Linked DNA regions of Coturnix japonica. The protein of the gene in region 1 purifies or fractionates together with the protein of each later gene. This does not show direct contact. Links are inferred from orthologs where the notes say so. Each region holds a gene or a part of one and is shown in the gene's direction. Other genes may lie near its edges.

Region 1 (3,651 bases):
AAAAAGAGACTTGATAAGTTTAATGAAGTAGTAAGCGCTCTGAAGGAGGGGAAGGCAGAGACAAGCAAGCAGATCAAGGAGCTGGAGCATTCAATCGATGCTTCAATGACCAAAATTAAGGTATGATATTAATCAGAAAAATAGAAATCTTCTGAGAACTTAATTTAAAATGTCAAAGTACTTAATTTTTTTTATAGGAAAGACATTTAAATATAGAAATATAATTTGTTTTCAGAGTGAGTGAACACTACTACATCTTGTTTAAATTGTTTGTGAATATTACTGAAGTAAACCTGACAACTTATACTTCTTTTTCCTAATAAAATTTAGACAACTTGGTTATCGTCATGATATATCCTTAAAATGGTCAGAAAACATCCCATGTCACAGCTTTATTAGTATGCATCCGTGTGTAAGGTGAAATTGGACTGTAGCTGTCAGTGAAATTTGAAAACATGTAGTGAAGGCAACAGCTTTAATTTTATTTATTTATTTATGACACATTGATTATCAGTAACTTTTTTTCTTAAATCCACTAGTCAGAATGTGGTCCATAGAAAGAGTTATTAAATTTATTTTGTAGTGTGACATAAAAGACAGTGGTAAATATCCACTAAGAACACATCAGAAAAGTATGAGGTTATTAGTTTTCATCTCAGGATAGTAAAAATTAATTTCTGATACGGAATGGCAAGGTTTCAGAAATTAATTCATGTTTCGAAGAAAATTCATGACTGTTTTCAGTGATAAAATGGAGACTGTTTTTTCTGCCGTTTTGTATAAGGAGAGCAGTGCAACTGCAATATTTTAGGATGGAAGGAGGGATCTGTTTAAGTTCTCTGACCATGCAGTATATGTATAACTTAATTGCAACACTCAAAGCTTTTCATTTTTCAAATGTATTTTTTAAAATACACATCTTTTAAAGTGAATTACAAATGCAAAGGAATATTATCCCTCTCTTGTTATTATAATTTTGCAGACCACAATGATGACTAGAGAACAGATAATGAAAGAATATGATGCTTTAGTTAGAAGCTCAGAGCAGCTTTTGAGTGCACTGCAAAAGAAAAAACAGCAAGAGGAAGAAGCAGAGAGGTTACGACGCATCCAGGAGGAAATGGAAAAAGAAAGAAAGAGACGTGAGGAGGAAGAGCAACGGCGAAGGAAGGAAGAAGAAGAAAGGCGTCTGTGAGTCTTGAATAAGTTGCTGGCTTTAGAATAAGAAGAAAATAGGAAAAGCCCTCAATTAGGTTATTTTTATTATTACTGTGCTTAAAGAGAGTTGCTTGAATTGTGCTTGTGGTGTCCTATTCATTGTTAAAATATTTCTTCTCTTTTCCAAACAATTTTAATGTTAAGTGTAGTCAGGATAGAGTATTTAAAAGATTTTATGATGCAGCTCATGATACAGACAGACTTTCAAAAGTCCTTGACTTTAAATACGGCTTATGTCATAACTCTACAGTCCCTTGGATTGTCATTTAATTTTATGGAGAATGCTTTGGTATTACTTGTTTGCTTGCATTATTTTAGTAACTTATTAAAAGTTTTGATTTCCTCTTTCTCTTGTCTGATAGAAAATCTGAGATTGAGGCAAAGAGAAAACAGGAAGAAGAAGAAAGGAAAAAGAGGGAAGATGAAGAAAAGCGTATTCAGGTAATGTTTTAGCTATGGTTTTGTAGATTCATTTTTGTTTCTTTTTTGTTTTTATTTTTTTTTCGGCTTACAATTTCCACTGAGTCTAATGGCATTATTTTGTGAGTAGGTTTCCAAATTATACAGCAGTGTTGCATTTGGTTCACCTAATACAATCTGTGTAGAAGTAGTGCTATAACTGAATTATAACTACAAGAGGAAGAATGCATAATCTAAATTCAGTTTTCAGATAAGAAAGAATATACATGTGAATGAAACCCATCAAGAAGATTCTGCTGGGGAATTGTTTGTATTAAGCACTTACATTTTCCTTGAGACATAAGAGAGGGTTAAAAGGATAATATTTAAAAGTTTACTAAAATTCTTTTGGTAGTGTTTGCTGACATGGTTGAATGGGAATAGAGAGCAGAATAAGATGTGTGAAAAATTTGTTTGGCATCTTACAACCAGTGTCACTTCAGAGCTACTTTTGATGATCTTTGAAGGGTCATGGCAGTCAGGGAAGGTGCTGAGTTCTGGAAGATGGCACGTGCTACTCCAGTCTTAAGAAGAGCAACGACGAGAATTTGGGAAACCATCAGCCTTACCTCAATTGCTGGGAAGGCATGGGAGCAAATAATTCTGGAAGCCTTTCTGAAATAGTGAAGGTCGAGAAAGTGGTTGAGAGTAGTCAGTGTGGATTTATGAAGGGGAAGTCCTGCCTGACTGATCCAATAGCCTCATCTGATGAGGTGATTGGCTTGGTGAATAATGGGAGAGCAGCAAATGTTACTTAACTCAAATTTAGCAGGGCTTTTAACACTGTTCTTACAAATGTCTTCATAGAAAAAACAGATGGTGTATGAGCTAGGTAAGTGGACAATGAGGTGGATTGAAAAATGGCTCAAAGGTCATGATGGCCAGCTGGCGGCCAGTCATTTAAGCTGTACTCTAAGGATAAATGCTGGGGCCAATACTGTGTAATGTTTTTATTAATGATCTGGATGATGAAACTGGCTGCACTATTAGCAAGTTTGCAGATGATAAAAAACTGTTCTGTAGGCCAGATGGATGTGCTACTATTCAGAGAGATTATGATAAAGAGGCTAGAGAAATTAGTTGACCAGAATATCATAAAGTTCAACAAAGGGATATTAAAAAGAAAAAAAAATCCCTATCTCTGGGGAAGGAATAACCCTATTCATAGACTCATGCTGGAGGAACCTGGTTAAGCATCTCTGCAGAGGAGGCCTTGTGGTTATGGTGAACATAGGGGCTTTTTCAACAAACAAGGCCAATGGCATCCTGGGCTGTGTGAGGGGGAAAGAGCATTGCCAGCACGTCACAGAACGTGAGTGCAGTGTTAGAGAGCCCAGAGCTGAAAATAAGAGAGCTGTGGATGTACTGCATAACTTCAGTTAAGTTTGTCAAGCAGGATAGTGGATTCATCGTCAAGAAGACAATATATGAAGGAGAATGTTTGTGGATTGGGAACATGCTAGATTCCTGATGGAAGTTAAGTAGCTATAATGAGTTGATTTGGTAGATAGAGGGAGAAATTTCAGGAAGAAGAGGTGTTAGCAACGTTCTTTAACCTCACCATTTAGAGATCACTCTTTGATTTCTATTTTGGGTAGTTAGTGCTAAAACTGAATTTGTTTTGTTTGCCACTTGTTATTCATTTGTTTTCTGTTCACAATGGCATTGTGTAGTGACATGCATTAAGGTTGTGGTACATCATATGCTACATTCTTGTTACTTAGGACAGGAGTAATCATCAATACCTTAAAAAATAGGGATATTTTTTTTAAATTGAAAGCCTTCAAGCAGCTTAATACTGCTTAGTTTCTAGTGCAGACTTTTCAAGAGAGGAAGCCTGTGCTTATTGTAGAAGAGTAACCTTTTAACTAGGCCTTAGCTGCAGTGCGCTTGTGGTAGAGGAAAACGGGAGAAGAAATGTGAGCATTTATCATGACTGTCAGGTCAGCTCTTTGTATTCCAGAGCTGAAACTA
Region 2 (3,651 bases), on another chromosome or scaffold:
CTCACTAAGAGCTTCGTTCCAAAGAATGTTCCCCCTTTGCCAAAATTCCTCCTGACGTTGCCTTCAAGGAAACACATCCTTTTTTAGCAGGCTAGGAGAGGTTGTTGTTTTTTTTTAAAGCAGATTTCTGTTAATGGTTGCTTTAACCCTTGGAAGATGTTGTGAGTGTGGTGTGAGTAAAAATGCTGCAGTTACCAGCCAGACTCGTAATAGGTCGGACCCAATTTGAGTGAATGTGACTGCATCGCTGCCTCAAAACTCAGCTCTGATTTCATCTGTGCTGTAGATTGAGGGGAGGCTGGCAGAGCTCAGTCATTGCTGCTGATGGCTTTGGTGTCTTATTTTGTAGGGAGTCATTTCTTTAGAAATACTGACTCATGGTTAGTGTCCAGCTGTGGGAGTCTGGACAGCAGACCAGCGTGTAAACACTCTGTCTCAAACATTCTTTGGTATGATAAAGTGAAAGCAAAAGCTACAGAGATTTATCATGTTTGTGGTTAAACCTTTTCCAAAGCGGTGCAGTGCATTTCTTTGTGCCTTCTCTGCCAGAAAACTACCACATTTAATGGTAGTTTTGATTAAAGTTTTTCTCCTGCCCAGCAGGAAATGTTGGATCACAAAGAAATAGCAAATCTTGCTGCTTGCAGGGGATTGAAATCCTTGCATTGCGTGGTTGGGTGGCAGGGTTCTGCTGGGATCTGTGTGAAGCAGGAATGCCCTCTCCATGGAACACAGGGTGTGATGGTGCTGCATGCTCTGCATTTCCTTGGTGGAGTCGTTACACTGCCTTGTGTATTCTAGACTAGATTAGAAGCTGAGATTTCAATGCAATGGGGTACCTAACAGAATGCAACAGGGTACCTAACAGGAGGCTGGGAGAAGAGTACTTGTGGTCTCTGGTTGAAACCTCGTTTTGGTTTGTTTTTCATTGCAGCATCACTCACTCTGTACAGAGGATATACGCTATAGAAGATCTGTAAATCCATAATGATCTATACAATATAGAAGATCTGTAAATCCATAATGTATCCTGGAACAGGGATCTGAAGCTGGTCTCTCAGTGTCGTAAACTACCTCCCTTAAGCTTCAGGCAGTTTGGGATGTGAAAGCGTGGCTATGAAAGGAATGTTGCATCTGCCTCTCTCATTGTCACTATCAGATTTTGAAATATGTTGATTTATTTCCCTTGTGAAATGAAAATCCCTTCATAATCTTGAAAATTGTGCAGGCAGGATGGCAGAATGGAATCCTGTCCAGTGCTTGCCATGATGTGACGGATAAGGGCAGGTAATACTTGCCCTTGGGAAGTTGAAGATAACTTCTCAGAAAGGGTCTTTTTTCTTCCCCTTCAGATTTGTCACGGAACAGACTGTCGGAGCTTCCAGCAGAAGCATGTCACTTCGTTTCCCTCGAGAGCCTTAATTTGTACCAGAACTGCATTCGATACATCCCAGAGGCTGTTTTGAACTTACAGTCTTTAACGTTTCTAAATATCAGGTAACAACTGCCTTAAAATTTTTGCTTCAGCATCACTACTCTAAGCTGACAAGTTTGAGTGCTCCCATAAATAATAGACATGGTGTGTCATTATCGCATTGTTATACTGTATGCATTTGAAACAAAGCAGCCTGAACCAGCCTCACCCTCCTTTGGGGGGGTGGATTAGGGAATATAGGGATTAAGCTGGAGCTTGTAGAAGTGAAGTATGAAGAAGGAAGCTAATTCCAGTATAAGGTACTTACAGAGGAAGTTCCAGTGAGGTCCATGGGAAATACAGGTATGTGAACTGAAAGAATATTGTTGGATAGGCCATGAAATTCAGATCTGGGTACCTGAATGCTGATGGAATGCAATAGCTCTGTGCTGCGTTTTGTTTTGAAGGAGAGTCTTTTTTCCCTTTTAAAATCATTCTTATCCTGCGTGATTCTCATCTGAGGTCACAGTCTCATCATATGACCCCCTATTTGCTTTAATAGTAGTGTGTTGTGAAAGGTACAGATTGGATTTTGGAGCAGCCAAATTCATCGTACCAAGATTCTCGATCCATGTGATGTGCTGAATATTTCAAGTATATTTCTAATCAAGTGTCTAAGTGACTTTATCTGTGGCGTTTATTATACACTCACCTGCAGTGCTGCCTCTTTGCTGGCTTTTGGGTGGCAAGTTTTCAGCAGCACCTAAAAGGTCCCAGAAATGTTGTGTTCCCCAACACCAAGTTCAAAAGCATCAAGACACACTTGGTACTTGATATTCAGAGCGTGCTCAGCCACAGCTGGATAAAGCAATGCTGCTTCAAGGAAATGTGAAGACTTTATGCAACTCATTTTACAATAATTATACAGAAACTGAGTTGATAAACAAAACAGTGTGTGCTTTTTGTGTGTTAAGACGAGAGGTGGCTTCTCATGGCAGTTCTGATGATCTGGTTTTCTTTCTGTCCAAAAAGTCGAAACCAACTTTCAACGTTGCCAGTACACCTCTGTAGTCTACCACTAAAGGTTCTGATAGCGAGTAATAATAAGCTGGTCTCCATACCTGAAGAAATTGGACAGCTCAGACAGCTGACAGAGCTCGTGAGTATACAGTTATTTTTTAACTATCACTACTTAATCTTTAATTTAAGGGATTTAATTAAGTTAATTAAATCAATTTAATTTGATATGTTTAAGAGGTTCAGATGTGCTTCAGATAAGCTGATGAAAACTGCTCAGTCATTAAGATGCTCTCTGGGGATGTGCATGATGAATATTCTGTTTCTCATTCTGCTGAGAACTTTGTGATGGTAAACCAGTCACTTGTGTGCAGTAGCGACTTAAATCTGCTTTTGGCCTAAAAAGGGTTTGTCTCTGCCTTAGTATCTCCTGCTATGTCAGTGCAGAGGGCACTAACTCTTTACTCGTGCTTTGTAGGATGTGAGCTGTAATGAAATACAGACAATACCTCCACAGATCGGCAATTTGGAATCCTTACGGGACCTAAATGTCAGAAGAAATCATTTGGTGCATTTACCTGAAGGTGAGATTAAGACTGTCAGCTGTAGCAGCTGAAACTTGAAGCACTTCTGTATTTTAATGTCTTTTTATTCCTGTGAGTACCAGTAGCAGATACATTTAATTATTCGTAAAATAGATGCATGGAATTTTATGTACTTCTGAATCTGCTAAATTAAATACTTATTTTCTACTTCCAGAGCTCGCTGAGCTGCCTTTGATTCGATTAGATTTCTCCTGCAATAAAATAACAACAATCCCAGTTTGTTATAGGAACCTCAGACATCTGCAAACCATCATGTTAGAGAACAACCCTCTCCAGTCACCCCCTGCACAGGTAAACTGCGGCTGGGGAATCAGATGACTAGTTCAATTAAAAAGGGTGGAACAAAAAGCTGAAGGATTGTGTTAGAACCTTTACTTAAGAGCAAGAGCGCTTCAAATAACTTCTTTTCTGAAAGTGTCAAACATTCAGCCCGGCTGGAAAAATCCATTTTTCTTTTATTTATCGCATTAGTCTCACTTGTGGCTTTATATGAAAAATTCCCCTGTTAGCACTGTGCTAATATTAGCAGGAGATTTCAGATGGCTGTAGATTTAGGAAGGGTGTATGAGAGAGGAAGCTCTATTAGGCAAAGCTGGTTTTGTGCCGCTCAAATGT
Region 3 (3,651 bases), on another chromosome or scaffold:
CTGCAAGCTGTGGTTCCCTCATACCTCCTTTCTTTCTTTGCAGAGTGGTCGACATGGGGACACCAAAGCCTTTTCGCAAGTAAGTGTGTTTAAAACTGTTTGAACTTCACTGATTTGATTGACATTTTAGTTGGTTATGAAGTAGAATGCAGCAGTGTTCATTGTTCTGAGCCAGTGTTCTTAAGTAACACGTGGATGAAATGGAACACCTGTGCATGGGACAGGTGGAGCAGGTAGTATGCAGATAAACCCTTTGATAAGCCCTAATGTTAGAAGGAGATTTATGAAAATACTGCAAGAACAGATATTCACTTAGTTGTTCTGTGAAGGGCTTAACATTCTTGTGGCTTCAGACATCTAACAGCTTATTGGAGAGCGTATTTGTGTAATGCTTTACAACTGCTATGTGTACTTTGATTCTTCTTTCTTCCTTGTATCCATGCCTAAAGTGGGAGTGATGCAGCATATTTTTTCTCCTTAGGGTGGACAGCGTTGGTTTTGCAGATGTACAAAGTGAAGATGAGCTGTATGACTTTGATATGGACACAGACCCTCCCAACTGGCAGCAGCTTGTGAGCCGAGAAGTGCTGATGGGGCTGAAACCTTATGAGATCAAGAGGCAAGAAGTGATTAATGGTGAGATGCAGTACCAAACAGAAAGTTGAAATCTAGTCCTGCATGTGTTTGCAAGTTCATACTTCTGACTTGTATTTAGTTCATATTTGAGCCTATATTGTCACACTTCTTTAAGTCAGTGGCTATAATCCTGCCTTTCTCTCTTCAGAGTTGTTTTACACTGAGAGAGCTCACGTCCGCACCCTGAAGGTTCTGCATAACGTTTTCTACCAGCGTGTCACCCGGGAAGGGATCCTCAACTCCAGTGATAAAAAGAAGATCTTTTCAAACCTGGAGGATATCCTGGGGCTTCATGGTAAGAGTGGCTGAGGTGCTTCTTGGCTTCACAATCTGAGCTGGAATTCAGGGTACAAATATCTGAGGAAAAATTGACACAGGTATCCTGAAACAAGAAGCAGCCTCATGCAGCACTTCCCCTTTCCACACACAGTCTTCCCCTTTCTGATTTGCAAAGATACTTTGAAGAGCACATGTGCTCAGTAGTTCAGCTCATCAGTGTACACAGACTGTTGTGCTCATTCATGTTTGTCAAAAACAGCAGTGCTTTGATGAATAGCCTTTGTAGGGTAATGTTCAGAAAGTTACAGCCGTCGATGAGGAAAACATGAAAAAGCCATGGAAGGATTGATGTCTTGCAGGTGGTTTTGAAGGGTCACTGTTTCTAATTGTTTACAGAAAGGACTGTTCAGAATCACATTTCTGGCTCTGTCAATGAATAATCAGTGGTAATTTGTAGGCAGGTGGTTTGAAGCGTGTTCTGAATGAGCCGTGGGTTTTTAAAAGGTCAGTGAGGTTGAGCCTCATATAAGACGAGACTGGAAAGATTCTTGCAGGTCAGTTAAAGGCAGGAGAGCCAGAAGTGCAAAGGAGGGATATGACATTTTCTTAGATATTCTACTGAATTCATTGCATCACAGGACACTTTTTTAAATGTAATTGAAATCATTGCAAGTTTGGTCTTTTCTTAGAAGTTTTACTTTAAAAGAAACTGAAAGTAAGGAAAATGAAGCACAGAACCTGTATTAATAAAATGTTCTTTTTTTTTTTTTCTTTGTTTCTAAGTTGCATTGAATGATCAGATGAAAGCGGTCCGGAAAAGGAATGAGACTTCTGTTATTGACCAAATTGGGGAGGATTTGCTTTCTTGGGTAAATTCCATTTTTCTTCTCGAAAACATGTTTCAGAAAATGGCCAATAGTGTCAGGGGTTAATGAAGGTAATTCCCAGCTAATGGGAACTGAAGGTCTGAGAGCTGTTATTTGTGTGGAGCCAACAAAGAGGTAGGGGAAGAGGTTTAGAGAAAAGCGGAGGCAGCTCAAAGGGTTTTCATTTGACAAGAGGTCTAGAAAAGAAGAAGAAAACGTTCCTTTTGATGCATTGGTAAAATAGAAACATAGCTTTGAAGGTGTAAAACGAGAGCAGGATGTAATAGCTCAATTTACTGCGCTAATATTGAAACAAGCCTCGCATCACTTTTGATACAGTTAAAGATATTCGAAAATCATGATTTCCAGTTATAGAATTTGCATAGCTGAGTCTCTTCAAACTGATAGCGCTATTTGCAGGCTTTGTTTCAAATTTGAGATCCAACTGATGGGAGCAGGAGTGAAAATCTCTTTGGCTTTTTTTCTTTAGCCTCTCCTGGGAGTCTCCTGTTGTGTTGTTTGTTTTCAAGCCTGCTTAATATGGGATTGAAGATTGATCTGCTTCTTCTTTTCAGGCGTTCATGCGGAAGTCTCTTGTGATTTATATTTTTGTAATCCTGCCATTTCTTAGTATCCCAGAAAAAAAAGGGAGGAAAATGAAAATCAGATGTGGCTGGTAGTGAAAAATCCTCTTCTAGTTCTCCCCTGTGTGTTGTGAAGAGCGAAAAATAGCTTGTGCATTCGTTTTTGAACAAGCTAAAGCAAGCTAGACATTACAAGTGTGATCGTTACATGTCCCTGACTGGTGGCTGGTTAAGTGGCTAAAACACAAATATTAAACTAAAATCTCATTCTCCAGAGTGAGTATTTTCAGCAGTTGGTTTTGCTGCATTGCCAATTGGGCAGTAGGGATGGGGAAGAGTTGCAGTGACAGTGGATCTGTCTGTCATCTGCGGCACATTTCTCAGCTCTGCTCAAGGCTGTTGTTTTCCCCAGCCATGTTTCTGTGTTTCTATGTTATATTCTTGTCCTTAAGCATGGCTAATCCTGGAGGGAGCAGCCCCTTTGGTCTTGGCTTTGCTGCCCAGAGTCTGGTAAATAATCACTGATCATTCATCCAAATGCTGTTTTTGCACTTCTCTTACAGCCTATAGCGAGTGGCTGTATTATCTCCCTGAATCTGCAGTGCATTTGTAGAGGGAACTGGGAATGCTGGGAGTGGTGGCAGAAGAGCTGTAGGGTTTTACACATAGCAGGGCTTCTAAATAGGCTGGACGAACAAAGACTTAAAAACAGAATGTTTAAGATACTGTATTCCATGGAAGCAACTTCTTAGATATAAAACACAAATGAATGGCAGGAAGCTGTGCCATGGGAGGTTCAGGCCGGGCATTAGGCTTCCTACCAAGGTGGTTGATATCCCCAGGCTGTCTGCATTAAAGGGGTATTTGGATAATGCCATCAATGACATGATTTGATGACCATTGTAGGTCTCCCCTCTTCCTCCTTTTTGCTACTATTCCTCCCTTCCTTTCTGAGACCAGCGGTGCTAGTGGCTTTATATCTGTTAACAGCAGCTCATGCTGAAGTTGGGTCTGTCTAATTTTGACTTTCATGACTTTCTGGCACAGTTCAGTGGAGCAGCAGAGGAGAAGCTGAAACACGCCACTGCCACGTTCTGCAGTAACCAGCCCTTTGCTCTAGAGGTCATAAAGTCCCGTCAGAAGAAGGACTCTCGTTTCCAGACTTTTGTGCAGGTGAATTTTATGCATGGCTTTGAGCTGCTGGTGTGGGATAGTGAAGGGCTTTAGATTAAGTTGTTACAGTTAATGAGATTGCACTTCGCATTGTCTTCAGATTACGATACACA

Evidence for each region.
Region 2: the proteins of MYO6 (region 1) and LRCH3 purify together in Homo sapiens (co-immunoprecipitation; 3 studies listed by BioGRID and IntAct, with this or other methods). This does not show direct contact. The link is inferred for Coturnix japonica from reciprocal best matches to the Homo sapiens genes MYO6 and LRCH3.
Region 3: the proteins of MYO6 (region 1) and ARHGEF12 purify together in Homo sapiens (affinity purification with mass spectrometry; 4 studies listed by BioGRID and IntAct, counting the BioPlex papers as one, with this or other methods). This does not show direct contact. The link is inferred for Coturnix japonica from reciprocal best matches to the Homo sapiens genes MYO6 and ARHGEF12.

What each region holds. Positions count from the first base shown.
Region 1 is NC_029518.1:73,396,378-73,400,028, reverse strand, and holds part of MYO6 (unconventional myosin-VI), read left to right. Parts: coding exon 1-120; intron 121-982; coding exon 983-1,191; intron 1,192-1,580; coding exon 1,581-1,659; intron 1,660-3,651. UniProt on the Homo sapiens protein: Myosins are actin-based motor molecules with ATPase activity. Unconventional myosins serve in intracellular movements. Myosin 6 is a reverse-direction motor protein that moves towards the minus-end of actin filaments.
Region 2 is NC_029524.1:13,130,287-13,133,937, forward strand, and holds part of LRCH3 (DISP complex protein LRCH3), read left to right. Parts: intron 1-1,352; coding exon 1,353-1,497; intron 1,498-2,446; coding exon 2,447-2,573; intron 2,574-2,909; coding exon 2,910-3,015; intron 3,016-3,190; coding exon 3,191-3,327; intron 3,328-3,651. UniProt on the Homo sapiens protein: As part of the DISP complex, may regulate the association of septins with actin and thereby regulate the actin cytoskeleton.
Region 3 is NC_029539.1:3,152,176-3,155,826, reverse strand, and holds part of ARHGEF12 (rho guanine nucleotide exchange factor 12), read left to right. Parts: intron 1-43; coding exon 44-79; intron 80-481; coding exon 482-636; intron 637-784; coding exon 785-931; intron 932-1,698; coding exon 1,699-1,784; intron 1,785-3,412; coding exon 3,413-3,538; intron 3,539-3,651. UniProt on the Homo sapiens protein: May play a role in the regulation of RhoA GTPase by guanine nucleotide-binding alpha-12 (GNA12) and alpha-13 (GNA13). Acts as guanine nucleotide exchange factor (GEF) for RhoA GTPase and may act as GTPase-activating protein (GAP) for GNA12 and GNA13.